Regions from separate parts of the Mus musculus genome. Here region 1 is reported to be linked to region 2. The links are microRNA targets in miRTarBase. Many come from high-throughput screens and were not tested one by one. Region 2 holds a microRNA gene; the other region holds the end of a gene's coding sequence.

What was found. Region 2 holds the annotated microRNA mmu-miR-5136 (AUAUGCGAGGGAACUACUGG, at 1,747-1,766, opposite strand). A microRNA usually pairs through its seed, bases 2 to 8, with sites in the 3' UTR of a target mRNA and lowers its output. Matches are read on the target gene's strand: a 7mer-m8 pairs with bases 2 to 8, a 7mer-A1 pairs with bases 2 to 7 and ends in A, and an 8mer does both.
Region 1: the mRNA of Septin3 is a reported target of mmu-miR-5136. Seed matches in the 3' UTR shown: 7mer-A1 at 2,849-2,855.

The regions. Positions count from the first base shown.
Region 1 is chr15:82,290,525-82,294,909 of GRCm38, reverse strand. It overlaps Septin3 (septin 3), which reads right to left. Exons shown (of 12, transcript NM_001368785.1): 11 at 4,079-4,172; 12 at 336-3,657. The coding sequence ends at 3,604. Among named protein-coding and RNA genes, the nearest start is that of Wbp2nl, 6.3 kb to the left of the region's middle.
Region 2 is chr19:8,886,963-8,891,347 of GRCm38, forward strand. It overlaps Mir5136 (microRNA 5136), which reads right to left and starts at 1,812; the gene lies at 1,737-1,812. It overlaps Lbhd1 (LBH domain containing 1), which reads left to right. Exons shown (of 6, transcript NM_001286103.1): 3 at 73-288; 4 at 2,162-2,286; 5 at 3,041-3,138; 6 at 3,449-3,797. The coding sequence ends at 3,479. It overlaps 1810009A15Rik (RIKEN cDNA 1810009A15 gene), which reads left to right and starts at 1,921. Exons shown (of 4, transcript NM_025463.3): 1 at 1,921-2,002; 2 at 2,162-2,286; 3 at 3,041-3,138; 4 at 3,449-3,797. The coding sequence starts at 1,964. The coding sequence ends at 3,558. 5730408K05Rik (RIKEN cDNA 5730408K05 gene) reads right to left here and starts at 1,808. Exons shown (of 1, transcript NR_027866.1): 1 at 1,425-1,808. It also overlaps Snora57.

The DNA.
Region 1 (4,385 bases), not on the chromosome of region 2:
GACTAGGCTTTCATTTATAGACTTGGTCCTTACGCCTTGGGGATGGGAGAAATGCTAAGAAGTTAAGTAATTGGGACTAAATACTTCCTGGAAAAACACAGGTCCTAAGAGAGTCAGCTCTCCCGCTCACTAGAGTTACAAAATTCCAGGAAATGACTGGGATATAGCCTCACATTACCCAAAAAATGAATAGATGCCACATGTTCAATATCTAATATCTGTAGCTACTTCTTGCCTTGCCAGGAGGGTCCCTGGCTCACACGCAGTGAGATGATGTCATTCACGGCTGATTTTATCAAGGAGCAAGAAACACGAATAAGACAAAGACCAGGCCATTATTGTTCAAACAGTAATGTTTAGTTGTACAACAGAGGCTAGCAACATCTACATGACCAGTCTGAGTGTCTGTTTGGCTTGTTTTCAATTGGGAAACTAAACTGGAATATCACCAAAAACGTCGGCTGGGACTAACAACGTTTTTAAAATGGGCCATTCTTGCATCCCCGAGGCTTGGGCCTCTTGTTCCTTCAGGACTTGTAGATGAATGGCCCACAAGTCACCAGCCTTTGAGCAAGTTGTGTCCAGGTGGAGATGGCAGGTGGGGTGGCTGAGGGAGGGTTCTAGAAAGACACAGTGTATGGGGCAGTGGCAGCCGTTCGTTCGCAAACATTCATGCATCTGATGGGGGCTTTGCCCTCCATTTGGGTATTTTCCATTAGCCTATAGCGACCACCTGTGGTCAGGCTAATGCATTGCTCACATTAACAGGGTGGGGGATGGGAGTAGGAATAGTCAGGGGAGGTGGGAAGAGATCCCTCTTATTGCTAAATGTATAAAAGGGTGCTATTTTTCTTCCTAGAGTGTATAGCTGGTGGGTTTGGGGTAGTCCATATGTGTGTTAAATTCCCTTTCTTTTAAAGTTTGGGGATAATTAAGTCAACTCCAGCAACCTCTTTTCAGCAAAACCCACTTCCCAGATGGCCATATTTTGGGGTAAACAGGTTGTCTACACACATACTCACTGGGCCAGCCACCAGTGGTGATTTTTTTTTTTAAGTGACACTAGCCTCTGGCTCCCCACCATGTATAATGAATCACCCTTATAAAATACCTTTAAGCAATGAAGGAGACACCCTTGTCCCACACAGGGGCTCACACGGCTGACCTCAGTGACTCTGACAAGCAGGAAAGTTGCTTTCTTGACCGGTTAAGGTAGCCAAGAAAGTACTCATGCAGAATGAATGGCTAGAGAGCAATGCCGGTTCCCTTGGAGACAGTTACAAGTCGCTGGTATGCGCTTGCAAGGGCAGGAGCAGCTTCCCATGAGTTCCTCCTCCCTACACAAGGACTGGGGTGCTGCTGACACAGATGATGGAGCAGGGTGGTGCTGGCAGGAACTCCATTCCATTGGGAGGAGAGGAGTAGTTTGGCTAAACAGAGGAAGCAACTGTCCTAAAGCCGCAGCTAGCCCCTCCCACCTACTGAGGGCTGAGAGGGGCTGTGCTGGTGGGCTAGACAAGCACAGCGCTAAAAGGGGCGTGGCCCTGCAGCAATAACAGCTGGGAGGGATGAGGGAGAAGCAGCACTTGAAATGGCCTTCATTCAGCAGTGGGGCAGGGGGTGGCTGGTACAGGTGGAAGGACAGTGCCCAGGAGGCCTTCTCCCTGCAGGGGGAGTTGAGAACGGTTGAGGGTGTGGAGACCGGCAGCCGGCAGCAGACACATAAAACAGCTTCTCCAGGGAGAGTGAGACCACAGCTTAGTGGAGACAGGCAGCATTCTCCTACTTAGACTCTCCAACACCCACCATTCTTATCCCTTGCTGGCCCTAGGTGCCCAATCCCATGTCACCATACAGGGCAGCTCACTAGAGCTGTCAGCGAGCTCTATGTTGCTACCACTCTAGCCTGACAGCTGGCCACTCTTTAGTGACGTTATAGATGAGGACTAGAGACAGAGCAGTCTCCAGGAAAGGCTAAGACCATAGGATTAGGACCACTTCTGCTTGGTCCACTGAATTGTGGGTCTTCCATCTCTTTTTGTTTTTTGTTTGTCTGTGTGTTTGTTTTCCTAGTGACTGGGTAATAAAGGGCTGAAGTCAGTGAAGACCAGTTCTACACCCAGGCTGGACCGGGAGGTGGCATAGTGGATAGATCAGTTCTAAACAGAATTTTGTGGTATCTTCCCTTTCCTATGGCTAAATGGCTTTCCTTAAAGCAGCCTTAGAAACTGTAGGGAAAAAAAAAAAACTTGAATGTGCAAGGAGCAGTTAAAGTATGCATTAATAAATACAAGGCTCCTGAGAAGGCAAGAGAAGGCTAAATGTATGGCTGTGGGTATTCCTGGGAACATCTACAGGATTGGATGGTGAGAGAATGCAGGGAGGGGAGAAGCCGAGAAAGACAGACAGACAAATGAGAACAGAGAAAGAGTGAGTTGGGTTTGTAAGAAACAAAGCCACAGAGAAGCCAGCTTAACATGGACAGAAGGCTGCTAGAAAACGGGAAACTGTGTTAGTTTGTCTCACAAGTCCAGCCGCCTAAGAAACTCTGTATATTTTTTCCGATTCTTCAGAATTAGTTTGTGAATATAATTTCCTCCACCTAAAGTTTGCCTCATTTGCCCAATAGATGTGCTTCTTGAACAGAACACCCAGAGCAGCCCAAGCTACCAAATTCTCCCATTTCCCCAGGCTATTCCCAAGTCAGAGCAAATTTCAGTGGTCAGCTGCAGAAACTGGCTTTCCTAGTCATCTTCTCTATAACTGAATTCTCTTGCAATCTCGGCATGCCCTGCCCCATGCTTTTACTTAGGATCTTATTCTTTTAAGGGTTTTTTTTTTTTTTATCTTATGCGTATGAGTGCTTGTCTATGTGTATGTATGTACACCATGCTCATAGAGGCTAAAAGAGGGTGTCAGGTCCTCTGGAACTGGAGTCACAGATAACTGTAAGCTACCAAGAAGGTGCTGGGAACTGAACCTGGGTCCTCTGCAAGAGCAAAAGGTCCCCCGAAGCACAGAGCCATCTCTTCAGCCCCTAGCTGTGATTCTATCTTAGGGTAATAGAAAGTCAATTTAGAAAGTCTGGGCATGATTTCTAAATATAGAAAGGAAGCTAACATAGATGACTCTAAAAGGAGATAAAAGGTCAGAGACAGGCAGGAAATGGGGTGAATGCATGAATATATATGAAGAAAGGAGGCAAAGGACGCTGGGGAGGGAGAAGAGAAATCAGGACGAGGAAGCAACCAACCAGCCTGGAAATACAGGGAAGGCGGGCACAGAAAGCAGTGGTTTGCAGCGGTGATGATCCGCTGTTTGACAGTGACCCCAACATAGACACAAGGGTGGAGCTCCATTTTCAGACACCAATTCTGCAGGAGCCCCTCAGCTTTCTTCTCTGCTCCCCACGAATCTTCTGTTTCCCCAAGAAGTCCTAGCCTTCCTCCAGATTACCTCAACTTACAGTGAAAAGTTGTTCTGAGCTCCCACAGCCCACCACAGGCTAGCTCAGCCACCAGTCCATGAAGAATACTTGCAGCCCCAGTTTGTGGGTGGGTCAGAAGTAAGAAAGAGTTGCCTGTGGCTCACCTGCTCCCAGCATTATAAATTAAAACCTTCCCCAGACCTCTTGAGTGAGGCGCACAGCTTTTTGTTCTGGAGCACAAGAAAAAAGGAGACAGAATGGAGAGTCATGGAGAAAGCAGACTTACAAAGGACTTTCCAAAGAGGGCAATGAAAATACCTCACCCCTGAGTACACGCATACATACACACACATGCATACACACACACAGGCACTCTCCATCACACACACATACACGCAGGCACTCTCCATCACACACATACACACATACATACACACACACACACACACACACACACACACACACACACACACACTAGACAAAATACTGCACAAATACCAGACAGGCCTGGGGGACAGAGCTGAGAGGAGGTGGTGGCTGGAGGTGGTATCTAGGATGTGTGTGTGTTTGGAGAAGGGGGATATGTATGATAACACAGAGAAGGGCTCATCACGGGTTACTGTCGTGGCTTTCCTCTGTGTCCACGCTCACCGGAGGGAGGCCTCCATTGTCATTGAGCCTCTTGGCCCTGTAAGTCTCATAGTGGATGTTGTGTGTTACTTCTTTGAGGTCCTGGAGGTGAGTCCTGAAGGGACACAGAGTAAAAAAAGAGAAGCAGATATGATTAGGGATCAGAAGAGGAAAAGGTGGTCCACCTCAGAGGCTAACACATCTCCTCAGTAGACTGGACCCAATGACTGGGACCCACCCTTGAGGACCAATGTCAATTTTACAACCCCTCTGAGATGCACTGGGATAGAGAGCTCTGTTAGAGAGGGCAGACATTCAGGAAGTGAAT
Region 2 (4,385 bases):
GGCTACATGGAGAGACCTTGTCTCAAATCAATTAAAGACACAGCATATCAAGAATATTTACTCTTCTCCCAGGTTGGGCCTGGATCCCACAGGATCCCACATCTCCTTTAAGAACAATAAACCCTGGACTTGGCTGGGGTCAAGAACAAGATGCCTTCTGGATTCCTGAAGATACAGAGGGTCAGGAAACTCCCAATCTCTGTCCTCTTTGGGACCCAACAGGGTCCTGCATCTATAGAACACGATTTATGGAATATCCCCATTTCCCACCTCTCAGTACTTTTGGGGGTAAGTATTGGTGTTTTTTTTTTTCCTCCAATTTCATCTCCATTATTATTGTTTTCAAAGCTCTTTGGCTTACTCTAAGCTGCAGGACACACAATTCACACCAGCTCTGCAGTTCAGATTGAGCCCAGCCAGTAATGATGTCAGGTCTCCCCACCTGGTAACCCAGTATTACCCTCAGGCTCCAGGTTTATGAACCAGGACACAAATTGTGCAAACCAGGAAAACACTCTCAATTACTAGCTATTCATACAATGGCAAAATTCCAACTCTATGTTTGACCAACAAAAGCAGAATGGAAACTCTCAGAAATCTTTTGAGATTTAACTGAATGTCTTATAAGGCCTTAACTTTTATTCTTTGGTCTTTCGAGACAAGGTTTCTCTGTATCACCCTGGCTGTCCTGGAACTCACGCTGTAGACCAGGCCGGCCTTGAACTCAGAAATCTGCCTGTCACTGCCTGCCAAGTGCTGGGATTAAATGTGTGGGCCACCATTGCCCGGTTTAGGGCTTAATTTTTATACCCAGTCCAGCCATTGGATTTTTTTTTTCTTACTTCTAGTAGGGCAGCTGAAAAGGAGGGTCCTTGAATCCTCAGGCAAATCTCGCTTAGCAACAATTATCCCTGGAGAGCTGTGAGGAACCTAAGGATGCTAGGGCTCCCAGATTCTGCACTGGGAATGGCAATGGCCTCCTTGTATAAGGCTGTTTATGTAGGTCCCAGCACGGAGACAAGTCCACCCCGAGAACATCCACAGGGCATGCCTGTGGAGGATTGAGATCCTAGTTTTACTTCCAATATCTTAGTGAGAAAGCTGTGCCTACCGCCAGTTTAAATGCCAGGAAGCTTGAAGATAAGGGTGCATGCTACCCCAGGTTAGTTCTGCTGATTACACGTGCGCACCATTACGCTAGGCTTTTTACCATAACTACAGGTTTGATTCCCATGCCTTTAGGAGCGCACTTTCTATACTCATAAAGATTTACATCCTGGTTGAGATTTAGCTTATTAAGTCCCCCCACAAGATCGACCAGAGATCTTTAGTGAATAGTCACTATCACTCCCAACATGTGCTTTCGGTCCTAAAGATTTGCAAATTACGAGTCGCAGAAAAAAAAGGTAGCGAACACAGGGTCCTTAGGGTTCACAGACTTTATTGATTCAATAATAAACAGCAAAGAAAATGTTAACCATCACTCCGGGAGCGTCAATGTCGACCTAAAATAAAATAAAAAGCGTTGAGTAACCCAGAGGGGACTGCGGGACCTAGCTACATTTCTGCACGGTTAAGTGTTCCGGCGTCTGAGGATAGAACCCGCGAACGGGAAGCCGCAAGCACCGAAGACATAACGCCGAGAGGGCCAGAGCCCTTTCTTCTACCTCCGTACATTACGGGGAGCGGGACCGCACGCCCGGTCCCCGCCAAGAAAAGGAGGATCTACAAAGTCAGGCCCAGTTCCCAGTAGTTCCCTCGCATATAAAGACAAAATCAAGACTCACGTGAAAACCACCCTTGGAAAGGCCCCGCAACGCGCGGAACAACCTTATATACCCCTGGTGCCCGCCTCCAAGCTGCGATTGGTTCGGAGGCATCAGAGGGCGGGGTCTTTTGCGTGTGGCGGAACCTGTGAGCGGAGCGGAAGTGCGGCTTTTGGAATGAGCCGCGGAGTGTAGCCATGGCACCTCCGGGAGGAAAGATCAATCGTCCCCGGACGGTGACTGAACTGTGGGAGTGGGAACTGCGTCTTTGTTTCCCTTTGCTTCCCGGCATTTTCCTCTTTGGAAACAGGATTAGTTAGGGGCTGGGGTTGTTAGGTGCGGAGGATCCCGGGTGGGTGTGCAGAACCTTACATGCGCATCTTTTTCTTCCGCAGGAGCTGAAGAAGAAGTTGTTCAAGCGCCGCAGGGTATTAAGCAGGGATCGGCGACGGAAACGCCAGGTGGTCGGGGCTGTGATAGACGAAGGGCTGACTACGAAGCACCACCTCAAGAAGCGGGCGTACGTACAGTATTATCCTCCGGTTGGACATTCCTACCCACTTCCTACCAGGTTTCAGAGCATCCCAGAGGTCTCCAAATTTCTTGTTCTCTTTCACGTTTATGCAGCAACTAGTTGAGAGTTATGTTAGTTTCCAAACTACTAGCCTCTTATGGTATCATTGCTCACAGGATTCTGATGCTGTTGTTGATTGTTTTGTCTCGGGTTTTCAAGCAGGGTTTCTCTGTAGCTCTGGCTGTTCTGGAACTTTCTGTGTTGACCAGGCTGGCCTCTAACTAAGAGATCCACTTACCTCTGCCTCCCAAGTTCTGGGATTAAAGTCCTTCACCACCCCCACCACCCCCCAGCTGCTCACTGGATTTTTTTTTTTTTTTTTTTTTCAAGACAGGGTTTCTTTGTGTCGCCCTGGCTGTCCTGGAACTCACCCTGTAGACCAGGCTGGCCTCGAACTCAGAACTTACTGACTTAATACTATTGAGGTACATATTGAAGTCAAATTGTTAAAAAGTCTTAAGTGTTAAAGAGTTCCCTGAGGACACCAGAGCCCATTCAGTAATTTGAATGCAGAGACCTTATAAAACAAAAACTGGGCAATGATGCTCCCATTTAAATTCCAGTGCCAGGAGACTAAGACAGAAAGGTTGCCTGTTGGCTAGCCTGGTCTACAGAGTGAGACCTTTTCTTAGCTGGGGTCATTTTTGAGGCTCAGTTTGGTACAAATGAACCTGGATATTTTTTGTTTCCTGTCACTCAGGTCCAGTGCTCGTGCCAACATCACGCTGTCTGGGAAGAAGCGCAGGAAACTCTTGCAGCAGATCCGACTTGCCCAGAAAGAAAAAGCAGCCATGGAAGGTAAGTCTTGGGCACAGAGGCTACACAACAAGAAGTCTGGATTTTACCTGGGTTTTATCTTTTTTTTTTTTTTTTTTTTAGGATTTATTTATTTATTTATTTATTTACAGTGTGTGCACTGTAGCTGTCTTCAGACACTCCAGAAGAGGGCATCAGATTTTTGTTATGGATGGTTGTGAGCCAGCATATGGTTGTTGGGATTTGAACTCAGGACCTTTGGAAGAGCAGTCGGCGCTCTTAACCACTGAGCCATCTCACCAGCCCCTGGGTTTTATCTTTAATGCTTTCTTTTTCCTTTCCTTTTGTTCAGTGGAAGCCCCCTCCAAGTCAACCAGGACTAGTCAGCCACAGCCCAAGCAACAAAAGAAGATAAAAGCTCCCCAGGACGTAGCTATGGAGGATCTTGAAGATAAGAGCTAAAATCCCTGCCTCTTCTACCAGAAGATGGTCAACAGCACTGAGAAAGATTTGGAGGAACTTTGGAAAAAATATTAGCATATTTCACTTTCCTAGACACCTCTTCTACAGCGGACCCTGACCTCCCCTGGAGGTGTATATTGGGACCGAAGAGGACACAGAGAAAGACTGGAGGGCCACCTCTAGCAGTCAACTCCTTTTGTAATAAAGCTTTAGTGCGTTCACCGTGTGGGATGAAGTGCAGCAGGGATGAGCCATGTAGAAAGGCCTTTGCGTGTGGGTGGAGACACTTCAGAAGAAGGACACATTGTGCAACAAAGGCGACAAGAAGCTACAAAGTGAAGGCATGGTGGCGCATGCCTTTAATCCCAACATTTGCCAGGCAGAGAGGCAGGCAGATCTCTGTTCAAGGCCTCACATTGAGTTCCAGGGCTTTATAAGACCCTATCTTTTTTTTTCTTTTTTTTTTCTTTTTTTTTAGTTTTTGGTTTTTCGAGACAGGGTTTCTCTGTGTAGCCCTGGCTGTCCTGGAACTCTCTGTAGACCAGGCTGGCCTCGAACTTCAGAAATCTGCCTGCCTCTTCCTCCCGAGTGCTGGGATTAAAGGTGTGCGCCACCACTGCCCAGCTGTAAGACCCTATCTCAAAATGAAACTGGTTAGCTTCTTCAGTGCCCTCCCCCCCATCTTTCTAAACACTTCCAATTCTGCATTTCTGGAACATACAGACGATTAAGGGTGGTAGATAGGGAGGAGAGGGTCTGATCATAGTCCACACTATGTTTAGCATTAGAGTTAAGTAAGGAACATTTCTTTTTGGTTGTGTTTAGGG